Oreochromis niloticus: one gene and its partner. The protein of the gene in region 1 interacts with the protein of each later gene in a biochemical or structural test. Links are inferred from orthologs where the notes say so. Each region holds a gene or a part of one and is shown in the gene's direction. Other genes may lie near its edges. The genes, in order: map3k2 and smyd3.

The links.
Region 2: the proteins of map3k2 (region 1) and smyd3 are reported together in a solved structure, tested with the Homo sapiens proteins (2 studies listed by BioGRID and IntAct, with this or other methods). The link is inferred for Oreochromis niloticus from reciprocal best matches to the Homo sapiens genes MAP3K2 and SMYD3.

What each region holds. Positions count from the first base shown.
Region 1 is NC_031986.2:20,160,130-20,167,547, forward strand, and holds the start of map3k2 (mitogen-activated protein kinase kinase kinase 2), read left to right. Parts: upstream 1-4,000; 5' UTR 4,001-4,355; intron 4,356-7,369; 5' UTR 7,370-7,387; coding exon 7,388-7,418. UniProt on the Homo sapiens protein: Component of a protein kinase signal transduction cascade. Regulates the JNK and ERK5 pathways by phosphorylating and activating MAP2K5 and MAP2K7. Plays a role in caveolae kiss-and-run dynamics.
Region 2 is NC_031965.2:25,951,664-25,959,081, forward strand, and holds the start of smyd3 (histone-lysine N-methyltransferase SMYD3), read left to right. Parts: upstream 1-3,343; 5' UTR 3,344-3,394; coding exon 3,395-3,558; intron 3,559-7,418. Other genes in the region: excitatory amino acid transporter 3, read left to right, coding at 1-25, 858-980, 1,117-1,311, 1,393-1,527, 1,732-1,833, 2,042-2,150. UniProt on the Homo sapiens protein: Histone methyltransferase. Specifically methylates 'Lys-4' of histone H3, inducing di- and tri-methylation, but not monomethylation. Also methylates 'Lys-5' of histone H4.

The sequences.
Region 1 (7,418 bases):
GCTACAATGAAAAAGACACAAAGCTGAAGCTGCACAGCTGCCTCTTCTTCTCTCATTCTCTCCCGTTTCTACTTCAATCACGAAACTGATCAATGATCAGCTGATCGGCTTTTCTCTCTTGTTTATTTATCGCCCACTTTGCGCCAGAAAGAGGAAACCAGCGGATGTCGCGTTAAACAACAGCAGCACGTTTAAGCTTGATCAGCTGTTGTTAGAATTTATTTAATATTAATTTCTAGTATCAGCTGATGTTTGCTGGAGCCACAGCTGTAAAGCTGCTGGTCATGATATCGGTTTGGTTATCTGGTGAGAGGGAAACATGCAGATGAAACCAGGAGATGTCCTTACTGAATCATCAGAGCTGAACAGGTGATGGAGAAACAGGTTTACCTTTTAGGTGACATGAACGAGTTGAAGGGAAGTTATGAACTGTTTCTGAGAGACAAATAACACCAGGATCCTTTTCTAAGTAGCTGACAGCTGGTAACTGTGCAGGGGCGGGTCTAGCAAAGTGTTGCCAGGGGGCCAGGTAGGGCATTAACAGGGAAAGGGGGACACAAGGAAATAGTTTTCTTTATTATTCTCATTTAAAATGTCTCGCTTTTAAAAAAATAATTATCTGAGTCTTACAACAAACAATTGATAGATTGATACATATATACCATCAGAACAGTGTACATCACTGTCACAACAGTGTTTATTTTCATTCAAAGGCTTTATGATTTTTCCTATAATGGTGGGCCGGTCTCTAGTCAAAATGCCCGGGACGATTTTTTTGTCCCAGTCCAGCTCTGTATGCAGCTCATCTGCAGTCTGGTGTTACCTACATCTTCCTATTCAGAAGGCAGAATTTCCAAGTTCTGAGTACAATCAAAAGCACCACGACTGCAGTTTTTGTGTTGGATGTAAAAAGCAGGCTAGAATCATGGCGGCGGTCAACGACGGTCCAGGCGTGGGATTTCTCTCGTGGAAATGTGCACATTATTTTTTCCTTTCTATTGGTAGGTGGCACAGTGCACTTGTGGCAAGTAAGCAAGCTAGAAGACTGGCAGTCTGGCTGGGTATCCAGTTACGGAAGCAACACATTAACAAGAGAATTCTGAGTAAAACCAAAGTTACTTTCCCTAGTAACTAGTTACTCTGAAAGTAACGAGTAACTTGAAGTAACTGAGTTACTTTTGATAGAAGTAACTAGTAATGTAACTAAGTTACTAATTTAAAGTAACTTACCCAACACTGATTATAACATATCACATGAAGAACTATATAAATTTTTGTAACTTCATAAATTTGAATTTCCCCATAACAGGTTATTTTTACAACAAGTGGCTCTGTGGTGTAGTGGTCAAAAAATTTGAGAGGGTGGAGACACAAACTCAGTCTCCACTCAGTGTCCTTAGTGTACGTGCTGGTCCCAAGCCTGGATAAATGGGAGGGTTGTGTCAGTAAGGACATCTGGTGTGAACTCTGTGCCAAGGCAACAACTTTTGCACATCTATCGGCTGTGGCACACCCTTGGGAAAATAAAGGCACAGCCAAAAGTGTTGTTTCGAAAATGTTTTGATTATTCTAAATCTACAAATTGTTACAACACTGAGTGAAACCCCCCATATCAGACAGCCCCGTATGAGCAAGCACTTGGTGACAGTGGGGAGGAAGAACTGCCTTTTAATAGGAAATGAACTTCCAACACAAGCAGATTGAGGGAGGGTCGGCCATCTGCCCGACTGGTCACCAAGGCAGACTATTTTACAATATAATATATGTATAATGTAATGTTTGACCATTAGAGTGTGATATAAATCTTTGCTGATAGTAAATGCAAGTTTATGGACACGGTAAATAATTAAACCCGGTATTTATTTAAAAAGTATGGAAAAATATCTATAAAACATTTAAATGGAAAATTCCTTTATTTTAAAATGGTACATTGTACTTTTTTATGGACTCTTCCCCCTTTTCAGTGTACTTTTATAGCACAGAAAAAACTTTTTTTTTGAAAACGGACTAATAATGTGGTGAATATGCAGCACAGAGTACAGACGTTTTATGTTTTTTAAAGAACAATGTTTATATTTTTATGGAAGGAATGCTTGCAGTCTCTGTATTTGACTTTTATCAAGCTGGGTGTAACAATCCAAAGACCAAAACCATAAACCACAATCTAGATAACACTGGGTCTAAATGCAATAATAAACTTAGACAACATGAACAAAACTGACACTAAAATATAATATAGAAACTCTTAGATGGAGAAATGTATTATAATGGGGCCCTTTCCATATCATACAAGTTGTAGGCACATTGCAGAAAACATAGGGCTGTTTTTGTTTTTTAAATTTTGATAATGTCAGGATGTGACACACACACACACACACACACACACACACACACACACACACACACACACACAGACACACAGACACACACGCACACACAGACACACACACACACACACAATGACACTGTGTTTTATTGCAGGATCATTTTAAAGCTCTAAAATATGTTTGTTTTTTGTTTTTTTTATTAACAAATTCATTTTATCTGGCTAATAAGAATGAATATAAACTAGATAAACACTGGCTTATTTGGAGTTTGAGGTTTTTAAAATCAGTTTTGTCTCACCTGAGTGATATCAGAATTTCCATTTGTGCTTGGTCTAAACTGCCCCTATATATGTTTCACATTATTTTTAAGCACCCAGACAAGTTGATTAAAGAGTTTGGCTTTTAATTAAAATTAAAATTCACATTTTAAATTATAAATACAGATCAATACAATACATATTGATCAGTCCATTAGTGACATCAAGTTATTGGCCTTTTAAATGCTGGTGATGTGGATATATAACAAAATACTTTTATAATACATTAAACATTTTGTTAAATTTTATTTAAAAAAATAAACAACCTAGAGCTGTATAGGAAAGAAAAAAAAATTAAAATCATATTATGCATTTGCAAAACTAATTTAAACAGAATTAAAATATCAATTGCTTCAAATTTACTCTTTTTCAGTTTAGTCCAGTTTCAGCAACACGTCAGCCTCAGGTGTTAATTATAATAATAGCAGTAAATACCACCATTACCTGACAATACCAACAAATAGCACCCATTACATAACAAAGAAACCTCCAAACTAATACTAAAAATAATAAAAAACTAAACTAAAATGAAAGAAGCAAATCCGCAGAAGCAAAAGATTTAAATTTATATTTACTTTATTTAAATGGGACAATGCACATTAATTTACATGAGCGCTCAGGTTTATGATGTAAATGTGCCAGAGTAGTCATGCAGGCTCATTTTAATCTCCAAGCCAAATATGCAAAGGCATCTACAGTCATGTAGATGTCAAAGTGTATATAGATATATACCAGCTGTAAATAACTCATGTTCAATTCTAATGTGCAATATTTTGATGTCCAGTCTCATTATTTACTTCCTTCAAAACTACGTATGGTGATATATTATTTATGCATTTGTAGGCATGGCCCTGTGTGTATGTATATACATATATATATATATATATATATATATATATATATGTATATATATATATATATATATATATATATATATATATATGCATATTTTAATTTTATGCACCCCTGAGAGAGTGTAGCTATAATTTTGTGCTTGCATAATTAATAATAATGAATTTAATCAATAGAAACTCTTAAATCTCTAAATATGTTGAACAATTATATTAAATTGTAATAAAATCTATAAAACTATTAAAAAAAAATAAAACTACAATAACTCAGTGATTAAACACCAATCAAATGTATTTACTCTTTGACAGGAAACTCATAAATTTCTCTGACGTGACAGGTCGTGTTTTTATTGGACTCTTCCGACAAGGTTGGGGTTAAGACCTTTCAAGTTTCCGTAAATGAAATATGATATCCTGGCACTGGTTGTCAAAATAAAACACATAATAGTTACTTGAATGTATCTTCTTTTATTCTCTGTCTCTACTTCCGGTTAAATTATTTTTAATAAGTGACAGCTTGATGGCGTCGTGGGGTCAGCAGCGAGCGGAGCTACCGTTAACCAGGGTGTAAAGTACAGCTAAAAGAGCGCCTCTGATTAAGTTAGCCTTTTAACCACTGCACAGACAAGGAGCTACTTAGTCAGACGAGCCGCCGTTTTGTCGTCTTGTGGTCGAAAAGCTTCAGCTGGCTCCTCTGACAGTCGTCAGGCCTCGTCGTCGTCGTGGTCCGGCAGCACTCGAGTGAAGTTGGGAGCGGACTGCCAAACTTCTGCTTCCTCCAGCGGCTCTCCGCGGGGCCCGGGGCTCCTGTCACCGGCCCTGTGGATGAGGAAGTGACTACACATCTAATTAGCGCCCAGGTACGATACTAAAGAAGTATTGGATCCATTTGAAGGGTTTATTTATTCCTTTAAGGGCTGTTTGTTTTTATTATAGTCGTGCAGCGCAGGTGAACGCTGATTAGCTGTGCGGTTGGCTGTTAGCATTAGCTCAGCTTGACAACTTCCCTGGCCTGACAGCTAGTTGCACACGTCTAGCTTAGCTTCACATATCGGCTCTCTGATTAGATAACAAACAGTATTTTGGGCGTAAGTGTCAAAAGTGTCTTATAATTATTCATCAAAGCGGCTGTAAATGCTAAAAATATGCTAGCATCAGTTGCTATGTTGCTACTCGGCTAACGCTAGCAGGAGAATCTAAAGCGAGCTAATTATCTACCAAAGGAGGCCATAATTGTGCTGTTGATATCAACTTTGTTGTGAGCACTGAGCAAGAGTCGGCACAGAAGATGATGCTCATCAGGAGGATGATGTATGTAAGGGTAAAAGAGAGAAGAAAAAACGCTAAGCTAAAGCTAGCACCAATGCTGCAGCTCTCTCATCAATCAGTGATGATCACAGACTATCATCACCAATTTCCAATCAACTCCTCGTCAGCAGAGGCCATCTTGACTTAAATTTCCACTCTTTTGCAATAACAATAAGATGAGGGCTAATTATGTTTGTACAGATTAAATTCTGGAGGTTATGTTCAATAATATTAATTGATAACTGAACAATAAACTACTTTTATTCCACACTCAAGCGTATGCTGCAACCTTTATAGCGCCTTTATTGGACACTCATAGCTACAGTCATTGCATATTTCACTATACATGGCAATGCAATAGTATAATATACAGTTTAGTGACAAATTCAAAAGCTAAATGCTTGACCTCCTATAGTGTGGGTATCCGGAGCCCAGTTAAACATAATCAGTGATCAGTAGAAAGGTATGGTCTGGAAACTGACTCATCTGAATGGAACCACATTAACCAATATTTTCACATTAAATTGGCAATAAAATATCCACCAGTGTGGGTAGTTTAAATGTGAAGAAAAGGGCTCTTAAAGTAGGGTCAGCATTTACTCCACTACACTTGTATTAAAGATTTTGTCGCTGCTGTTTTCTCATGTGATTTTTTTTTTTTTTTTTCCCCTTATAAAATCACAAATATACTATTTATCTTTGTAGGGAACACAGCAATTTAAGGGCTCCCATTCCAGAAGTGAGTTCCTTGTTCATTCTCTCTATTGATGTTTCAGAAAATCCTTATATAAAGAGTTTTAATCCTCAGACCAAACCAACCAGCTATGAGGTGAATCATGGCCATTAAAAAGATTTGATTTGGATCAAAAAAAGAAGGCAAAGGTACGAGGCTGTGTACAGGAACTGCTCATCCCCATAATGCGCTGCAAATCCTAGATTTCACAGTGAATGAATTCCAGCCTCCTTCAATGTAATCCTTTGGGTTGTTTTAGTGTTGCGTAATAACAGTTTTGACTATATGTTGTAATTCATGGTGTGTGTGTAGTAAAGTTTAGCCTCGCTGCAATCATTGCTCGCTTGTTTTTCTGAAGTTTTGTGCTGATGTTCCTACATTTAAAGAATTTCAACAGTAACAGCGACCTCCACCGATTGGAGGCATTGCTGTTTCAGTTCAGGATTGTGGGTAGAGTAGTTCTTGTAAGCAGTGTCATAAGTAAAACAGGTTTTTGTTAAACCAGGGTTGTATGTAAATAATATTTAGTAAGCCTGCTTAAGGTGTTTAGATTATGGCTGATATTCAGAATACGTGTGGGATTTTTACTTAAGCAACCTCACAGTTGAGCTCGATATTCTTATGGTTTAAGTCTGTAGTGTGCAGAATAATCAGACACAAAAAGAATAATTGTTTTTACTTGCATTGGCAGTGTGTTTGGGATTATTGTCATGCTGAAAAAACAAGGCGTTGGCAATTAGATGTGTTCCAGATGGTATTGCATGGTGGATTGCATGGTACTTTTTCTGTGTTCATTATTCATTGATTTTAATCTCTGACACCACTGGCTGAAATACAAAAACAGATGATGTTTTGTGACAGGCTTCTACTAAGAAATTGGTTCTTTACTCAAGGCCACTTTAAAAAATGACAGTGTGGCTTCTTGGAAGCAAAATGTAAAGAAACAAGAGCTGACTCAAGACTTTTGCACAGCACTGTATATTGATATCAAGTACCGGGTTTGGGTTTCAGTGTTAATTTAATCATATGTGCTCCTCACTGTGAGGAAGATACTGAGAATCTTTTTTGCTGATCAAAACGTTGCGTTTGACTCAAACATTATTTTACTTATTTTAAGAAATGTGGTGAATACATCCAAGAATATAAACTTATTGAAGTTTATTAGTGAAAAAGACAGATGATTGGCCAGCACAAGTAAAATGAATCAAATGTGTCTGAATTCCTCACCCTAGTTTATTTGCACTATTCTTCTTTCAACTCGCTGGGAGCACTCCTGACTCACACATGCACTTTGTGTGGGGCGTGAAGTGAAGAAATATTGATGACGACATGTTATGTTACCATAAAAATGCAATAAATGCTTCCTAACAAGTTTTACACCTTACACATACTGAGAGTGAGAATGAGAAGCTGACAGGGAAGCTCACAGTTAAGTCAAAAACTTCTGCAAACATACAGAGAAAAGCTGCTGGTGTAGCAGTACTCAAACCCCTGACCCTCGTTGCTGCTGGTGTCCTCCAGGCTATGTTGGAGCAACTGCTGCTGATATGTAACATAGTAGACATAGAACAGCATAGATGATTTGTATCTGATCCAAATGCTGGATTGGTGCATCGGGAAATAGAACTATCATGTAGACATAACACTCTTAAAATATGTATAAAGCCTCCAGATGCTTGTTTTGACATTGAAAAAAATAAATAAAGGCGAGTTACAATAAATTTGCATTTTTCAGACAATTTCAGTTAACAGAAATGTTTTTATTCACACACTATGTGTAATGATCCCTTTTAACTGCATGTAAGGATTTATGATGATGTTTTTGTGTTTCAGGAGAAAGGAATCCCTTTGATGGGAGAATCCTCTTTCCTGGCCTCCTGGG
Region 2 (7,418 bases), on another chromosome or scaffold:
AGTTCATGGCTGTAGTTGTTTTTGGGTAAGTTTTTTCATCTGTTTTTATTAACAGAATACTGACCCATAATTTAGCTGCATTTCCAACCCTCATCCCAAAATTTGTAAATGGTAAATGGGCTGGTTCCTATGTAACACTTTTCTGTTCTGCTTGAGCGCTCAAGTGCTTTATGCTACAAGCCTCATTCGCCAGTTCATCCACACATTCATACAGGCCCTTTTTTCTATACCTAAGGGCTTTGTATCTAACATTTACACACATTCATACTGTGATGAATGCATCAGGAGCAACTTGGAATTCAGTATAATGCCAGCTGAATCAGAGCCAAAATGGAGTGTACAGACTCTGCATACAAAGAATACAAAGGTTTTATTTACGCTTCAGTAATTAGCAAGAAGTTAGTCTTGTTGGACTAATGAGGTGAGCTTCAGGGGACTGAACCAGGGAACGTGAGTCCAATCAATAGGAAGGTACCAACAGAGAAAACTTAAGCTGAGTTGCTTACTGAGCCAAATAGTGTGCTGGGAATCCAGAAGAGGTGAAAGTTCTCATACATCCCTGAAGACAATCAGAGAAACAGACTTAAAGACAGATACATAGCGTAAAAATAAAAACAATGAGAAGAGAGCCCATCGCAGTATTACAGGAAATAACCACAAGATGAATAACAAACACAGAGCGGGATATCAGAGACACTGAGGGTCAAGACAGAGTGAGGCTAAGACATGGAGACACTGGGTGATGCTGGGAGCATTAGAAACACAAGATCAACAAAATCAAAACCAGAACCCAAACTCAATAAATACTAACCAGAAACCCAGGACTGTAAGTATTCACTTTAAATTGTGTGTTTTAGGCTCATAATCCACGCAGGAATGTTTCTACCAGCGCTCTATTTTGCATTTACAAGAACTAACCCTATAGTTCTCATTAAGGGGGTTTATCCTGCTCTACTGACTGCAGTGCTCATCTCATCCAGGTAAGATTACCTTTGAGGTCTTGGTTCTCAGCTGTTTGATGTTAGCTTTGAGTGTCCATCACCAGTGCTCGTCTTTATAGTTATTAAATATGTGAAATTATGACCAAGGGATTAAACCCTTACGATTGATTTATAGCTCTGCCACATTGCCCCTCACTTTCCGATGTTGTGAGGACAGAATCAAGATCGACCGCAGAATCACTCGTTTCATGCTGCCCATCGGTACCAACATCAACATGGATGGAACTGCCCTTTACGAGGCAGTCGCAGCAGTTTTCATTGCCCAGCTCAACAACATCAAACTGAACCTGAGCCAGCTGATCACCATTGGGTACGTTGATTATTTTATGACACTGTTTGTCATTGATGTAGTCTTCAAGAATCCAATGTAACTGGTCTGTTTGCTCTGTAGAGTTACAGCAACGGTCTCCAGCATAGGAGCAGCAGGAATCCCGGCGACAGGAGCAGTGACGACTCTCTTTGTTCTGACTGCAGCCGGTTTACCTGTGGGGGACGCTTCCATCCTTGTGGTTATAGAATGGCTACTGTGAGTTTTAGAAATGGACATGACACAAATAGTGAATAGTTTTGTCACAGATGGCCAAAGGAGTCTCTTCTGCCTTCATTGATTCAGAAACTGAAAACATAGACGTACTGTATGAACATAAAATTGAAAAAAAAAAGCAGTGTTATGTAGTTTTAATTTATTGTTTAGTTTAGCATGAGTTTTTTCTTTTGTATTACCTTTCAGAGACCGCTGCAACACTGTGGTGAATGTTTTCGGAGACTGCATCGGTGTGGCACTTGTCTGTCATCTGTCCAGACATGAACTGGAAGAAATGGACCTGACAAGGTGATGTTCTAGATTAGCGGTCCCCAACTCCCGGGCCGGTCTGTGAGTACAGGGGTTCAGTGTGTCGTACAGTGAAATGGATCAGCTGTCAACAGAAATAAATATTATGGTGGTAGTTTAAAGTGCATATTTACATTTAAAGTTCAAAATCTGCAGAGTGAAGCTTATACATTTACATTTTGTTTCTCGTGGTTGTTTTGCGCTCCAGGGAGGTTCGTGCTGAGGAATCTGCCCAAGGAGAGAAAATGTTATCCAGCACCCCGTTGCCTTTGGACAATACTGAGTCTTTTCACACACCCATAGAAGTTATTGTTTGATTTAGTGGCTTTTGCTTTGTATTTTACTGTTGTAATTTCACTGGATGGTTTAGAAGACTGACATCAAACAGAAGACTGTTAATGTGAAGAATCTAGTAAATGATGTACAGCGATACTACAGAGATATCACAATCTTTGTGAAGTTGTATGACATATTTCTTTATTTAATTATTTCAGTTTTAATTGAATTGATATGACATGTATATGAACTGAATTCAAGTAATATATTTAGTATTTCTTTTTAATTAAAATTCTGTAATAAGTATGCTGTTTATTTGAAAATTTGATTTGAATAACTATCAGGAAAATGTTAACATGTCCTCACTAGGCAGTGGGCAGTATCTTTATAGGGATAATGTAAAAAAAAAAAAATCAAAGATTTGTGTGATGACATAAACAGTCAGTGATTTGTGTAAATTTTGAAGAAGCACGAATTCATAAATATTAGTTTACCAAGATTCATTTTGAGGCAACTTACAATAGTAGACTGACATTCAAAAATGAGCAAAACCACATCAGGTGCCAGAGACATTATATTATTATTCCAAAAGGACTTTGCTGCTGAACAATAGTTCATCTGTTTTAAACTTCTGAGAACAGGAGCACTGCAGCTGGTAGGCCTTTTACCATATAGATGGCCAATCATCCAAACCACGCAAAAATCACCCAAGTGACCATTAATCTGCTGAAAATATATCTTTATTAACAAAACAAACAGATCAAATGCTTTTCTTAAGTGTACCTGTGTCTCTGTCCAGCATCTTTCCAAGGTTTTGCTAACAGTGCACAAATATTACACAACAGAGAATTCAGAAATCACATTTGATAGTGCATGCTTCATTAGTTCATATTAATAAATCTAATAACAACCATATACAGCATTACCTAAAACTAAACTAATATTAAAAGGGAAGGCATTGGTTTATTATATTATTAATATTAACATATTATTATTATTAATATGTTTATTGACATTTCTATGCCATTTACAAATACCGTCTATGTTATATCTAAAGAAAACAAAAGCAAAAACACTCAATAAAAACCAAGTGTTAAAAATAATAAATTGTGAGGTGCACACACAGTTTGGAAAGAAATAATAATAAAAAAGAAATACAAAAAATACGAAACAATCGTTTTGCATTTATATGTAGTAAAAGCGTGTGTACGTTCATGTGACGTCATGACGCAGCGTTTATCACGGATGTAAACACGGAAGTTTGTTTCACGTGGAGGGAAAATCAATGATGGCACCGATGCTCGAGCGTTTCGTCAGCCCAGGGAAAGGTAACGGTCTCCGGGCAGCGGGCAGGATACGCAAAGGAGAGCTGGTGATCTCTGCCGAGCCGCTGGCCTGCTGCGTGTCCAACAGACTGGCCAAAGAGGTCTGCCACCACTGCTTCACTCGGTAAGACCGGGGGTGCTTGATCTGTCAGTGTGACCTGCGAACAGCCTTTTGTGGAAAGGAAACGCTGCTGGGTGTATAGTAGTGTGTGTAGTTAAAGTGGAGGCAGTGTGATGGTTGAGGACTCGCTCTGTGCTTGTGGGAAGCTTAAATAGATAAATGATTTCTATCTATGTTAGTTTTAGTTTACCGAAGGTGGTATATACGGTCTACTGTATATCACAGACTGTATAGTCTTTATATATAAGTGGGTGCATGGGTACTATGGATATTCCTTGTTCATCATAGCTGCTGAAGGATAACTTTAGTAGATGCAGTTCTTCAACCGGCCACGAGATGGTAGCAAGGCTCCTTCATGGAGGAGGCAGACTTCAGTTATAATAATCTGACAGTGAAATTTATAATAGGAAAAAAAAATCTTTATAAGTGCTGTAAAAACAATAATATCAACAATATCAACAACCATGAACCCCTCCCTTTGTTAATGGGGAAGTGAATACCAAACCAAGCATTGACTTCCTGATCCAAAGTTCAGCTTCAATTTCAATATATGTAAATTTTTCTAGTGAAATGTTTAACATCATTTGTCCCATCCACGACACAACATTTGGTCTATAAGATCTTTATGATAGATCTTTTTTTTTAATGGCTGAGTTTTATCAATATTGATTTGTTTTGACTGTGATTTTCTTCTTTCGAATACAGTCCAAGTAGGAGTTCTGGAATTAGTTTTGAGATAATTTTCTCATGTCACTCTGACCTCAGCCCATAGTGTTATTAATCTTTTAGTGACTGCATATTTGGAGCATATTTCTGATTAAACTTGGCATAATATACAAAGGGTTGCACTAAAAAATTACAGTGAGTTTGTCTGAGGCGTGTAATAACTGACTTAGTACAGAGTTACAAGTTTTCACAGGACTATATGCAATCCTGGGGAAACCTAAGTACACCCCTACTGCTTCCATAGGAATTAAGAGGGTAAGTACAGGTGCTGCTAATCAAAAAAATGTATATGATTGAGGTCAGCCTCAGTTTTAAGCACTTTTATAAAACAGACGTTTTGACAGTTTCCTAATCTGGAGCATTCAAGTCTGTGTTGACACAATGCTGCAGTTTCCCAAGAGTGGACTTCCCAGCAAATTCACAACAAGGTCAGACCATGAAATGCTCAGAGTAAGTGCAAAGAAACCAAAGAGCCATGCATCAGACTTTACAGACCTCAGTTAGCATGTTAAATGTTGAAGTTCAGTTAGAGAAAGGCTGAATATGTGTGACTTTTTTGGAAGGGGTTATGGTAGAAAGTCTCTCTCTATATAAAAGTACATGGCAGTATGGCTTAGGATTGTAAAGCTGCATCTAAATAAACGACAAGACTTCTGGAATAATGACCTTTGGAGAGAGGACGAACCATATTGTGTTAGAAAACTTGGAAATGTTATTATCTTTGTGTTCATGACCAAGGACTCAAAGCCAGTAATACCTATTGTGGCTTTTGTTGGTTGTATGATTAATTGTACTCTTGTTTAGATACAGAATATAGAATATGCATTAAGAGTTAGTATGCAGTATCAGTTGATATGGGGCCTCATGTTGGGTCTTTTATTACTGCCTGATTCTGAAGCTCTGTCCTTTATGCTGCTAAATTAATTTGTCATTGGGCTACCAAGCAGCGAACTTACAGCAGTGTGATGTTTGTCCACATGTATACAGCACTGAATTAGCCTCAGATTGTTTTTTGTACTGACCGAGTATCCTCTTGAAATTATAAACAGTTTCTCGTTCTCATATCAAATTCATAATTTTTTTCATTTTTCCTGATTATATGTGGGAAGGTACACATTATCCTTTATTTGCATCAATCTGATGACTTGTCCTTGGTTTCATCTCATTTCCTGCTGTTATTTTTTTTTCAGTTTGATGCTTAATGATAGCACTGTGGCTTTCTAATGTAGACAAACCTACTTAATCAGGCTAAATGGATGTATGTGAATTTAATGAGGCTGCTAAGGAGAGAAACAAGTGTGCTAATTTCTGGTGCAAAGTGATAGGTTAATTACTGTGTGCTATAAATAGTACATATATGAGCCTAAGAAACAAATGAACAGAGACAGTCTAGCAACGGGATCACATCAGCCGTGATGCCAGTGACTCTCATCAGTGGACCGCACTCGTGTTCAACCTGGGCCTCTGTTTTTGTGTTGTATTGTGTTGACAGATTTGTCCAAAACTAGCCTTCCTGTCATGGCTGGTTGCAATGATCAACACAAGTAGTTATTGCAGGCATCTTCTGAGAGAATAGAAAAATACACATATTTAAACAAGAAAGTAATGCTTTTTAGAGAGTGTATTCACTCTTTAATGCCGCAGTCAAAATTACTCTCTCTTCTCACACTGTAATATGTATCTGATGAAATGTTAAATTGTATTCAGGTTCATGGTCAATGAAAATGCTTTTACATTGCAAATTTTGATTAATTTGTACTGAAATCTCCTAATCTGTACCCCACCATCAACACATACACCTGGTAAAAGTCTCTGCAGTGCTGTGAAAAACGGTCTGGGCTCACCCTTTCTGATTTCGTATTAATTTTGCATATTTGTCACATAGTTTCATATTTGTTATTACAGCTCAAATAAATTTAAATGTTAGACAAAGACAACCCAAATAAACACCAAATGCAGGTTTTAAATTATGATTTCATTTGTTAAGGAAAAAAATCGTTTGAGATAACAGGCAGTGAGTCTTTCACATTGCTATGGAGAATTTTGGCCTGGTCTTGTGTGCAGAATAGGTTTTTTTTAGCTGCATTTAATGATTTTTGAGCATGAACCACATGTTTCATGCCAAAGCATTTCAATCTGATTTAAGTCTGCACTTCGATTCATTTTGTTTTCAGCAGCAAGGCAGCCCTAGACCATAATACTACCATCACCATGTTTGACTGTTGCTGTGATGTTCTGTTTATGAGATGCTGTGTTCATTTTACAGCAGATGTAACAGGAGTTAATCTTTCTAAAAAGTTCAACTTTTGTCTTGTCAGTCCACAGAATATATAGAATATGTGTATATATAAATATACATATATATAGAATACCTGTTTTTTGGGGGGAAATGGCCAAAAACATCTGAGGACCAAGTTGTATGTGCCAAATGTGGAGCAATCCATTTGAACTTAAGTAGGACAGTTATCTTTCTTGGGTTTCTGTCTCATTGCTGGCTTGTTAAGGAAAGAGTGGGTCATCACAGTGCAGGCTCCAGTTGTGACACAGCAGTGACAGTCAATGATCAGTACATTTGGCACCGCAGCACATCCACTTTATCCACGGGTAATGACGTTAATGTGGGGGATGGAACAATTCTATTCACTTAACTGTCCAAGTACCCCAGAGATACATGCTGCACCTCACACTGCTTTGTTAGAGCAGCAGAAGACTGTCGCCGTGTGCCAATAGCTGCAGTGTATGCTTCCTCTGTCAGTTACTCAAATAAAAGCTTAGATAATAGAATACCAATAAAGAGATAATAAACACTCTGCTGGAAAGTAAATATGGAGAAATATTGCTACATGAACTAACATCAGGACAGGGCTGTTTATTTTCTCTATTGTTTTTTTTTTCAAGCTGCTTCCTTTGCATAGTGACAAGATGAAGATGGATCAGCCAGTAGATAAGAGGGAATGCAAATGTTATATAAAATAATGTGTTTATTAAGTCAATACTGGAGATAGTAAGTCAGCCATTATAGCAGTTGTTTGAAAGAAATAGTCATAAATCTTAAAGCTAGAAAACTAGTGTTTATATGTAAACATAACATATAACAAGTAAAAGTACAATAAAGGGAAAATAAAGAACCATAGAAA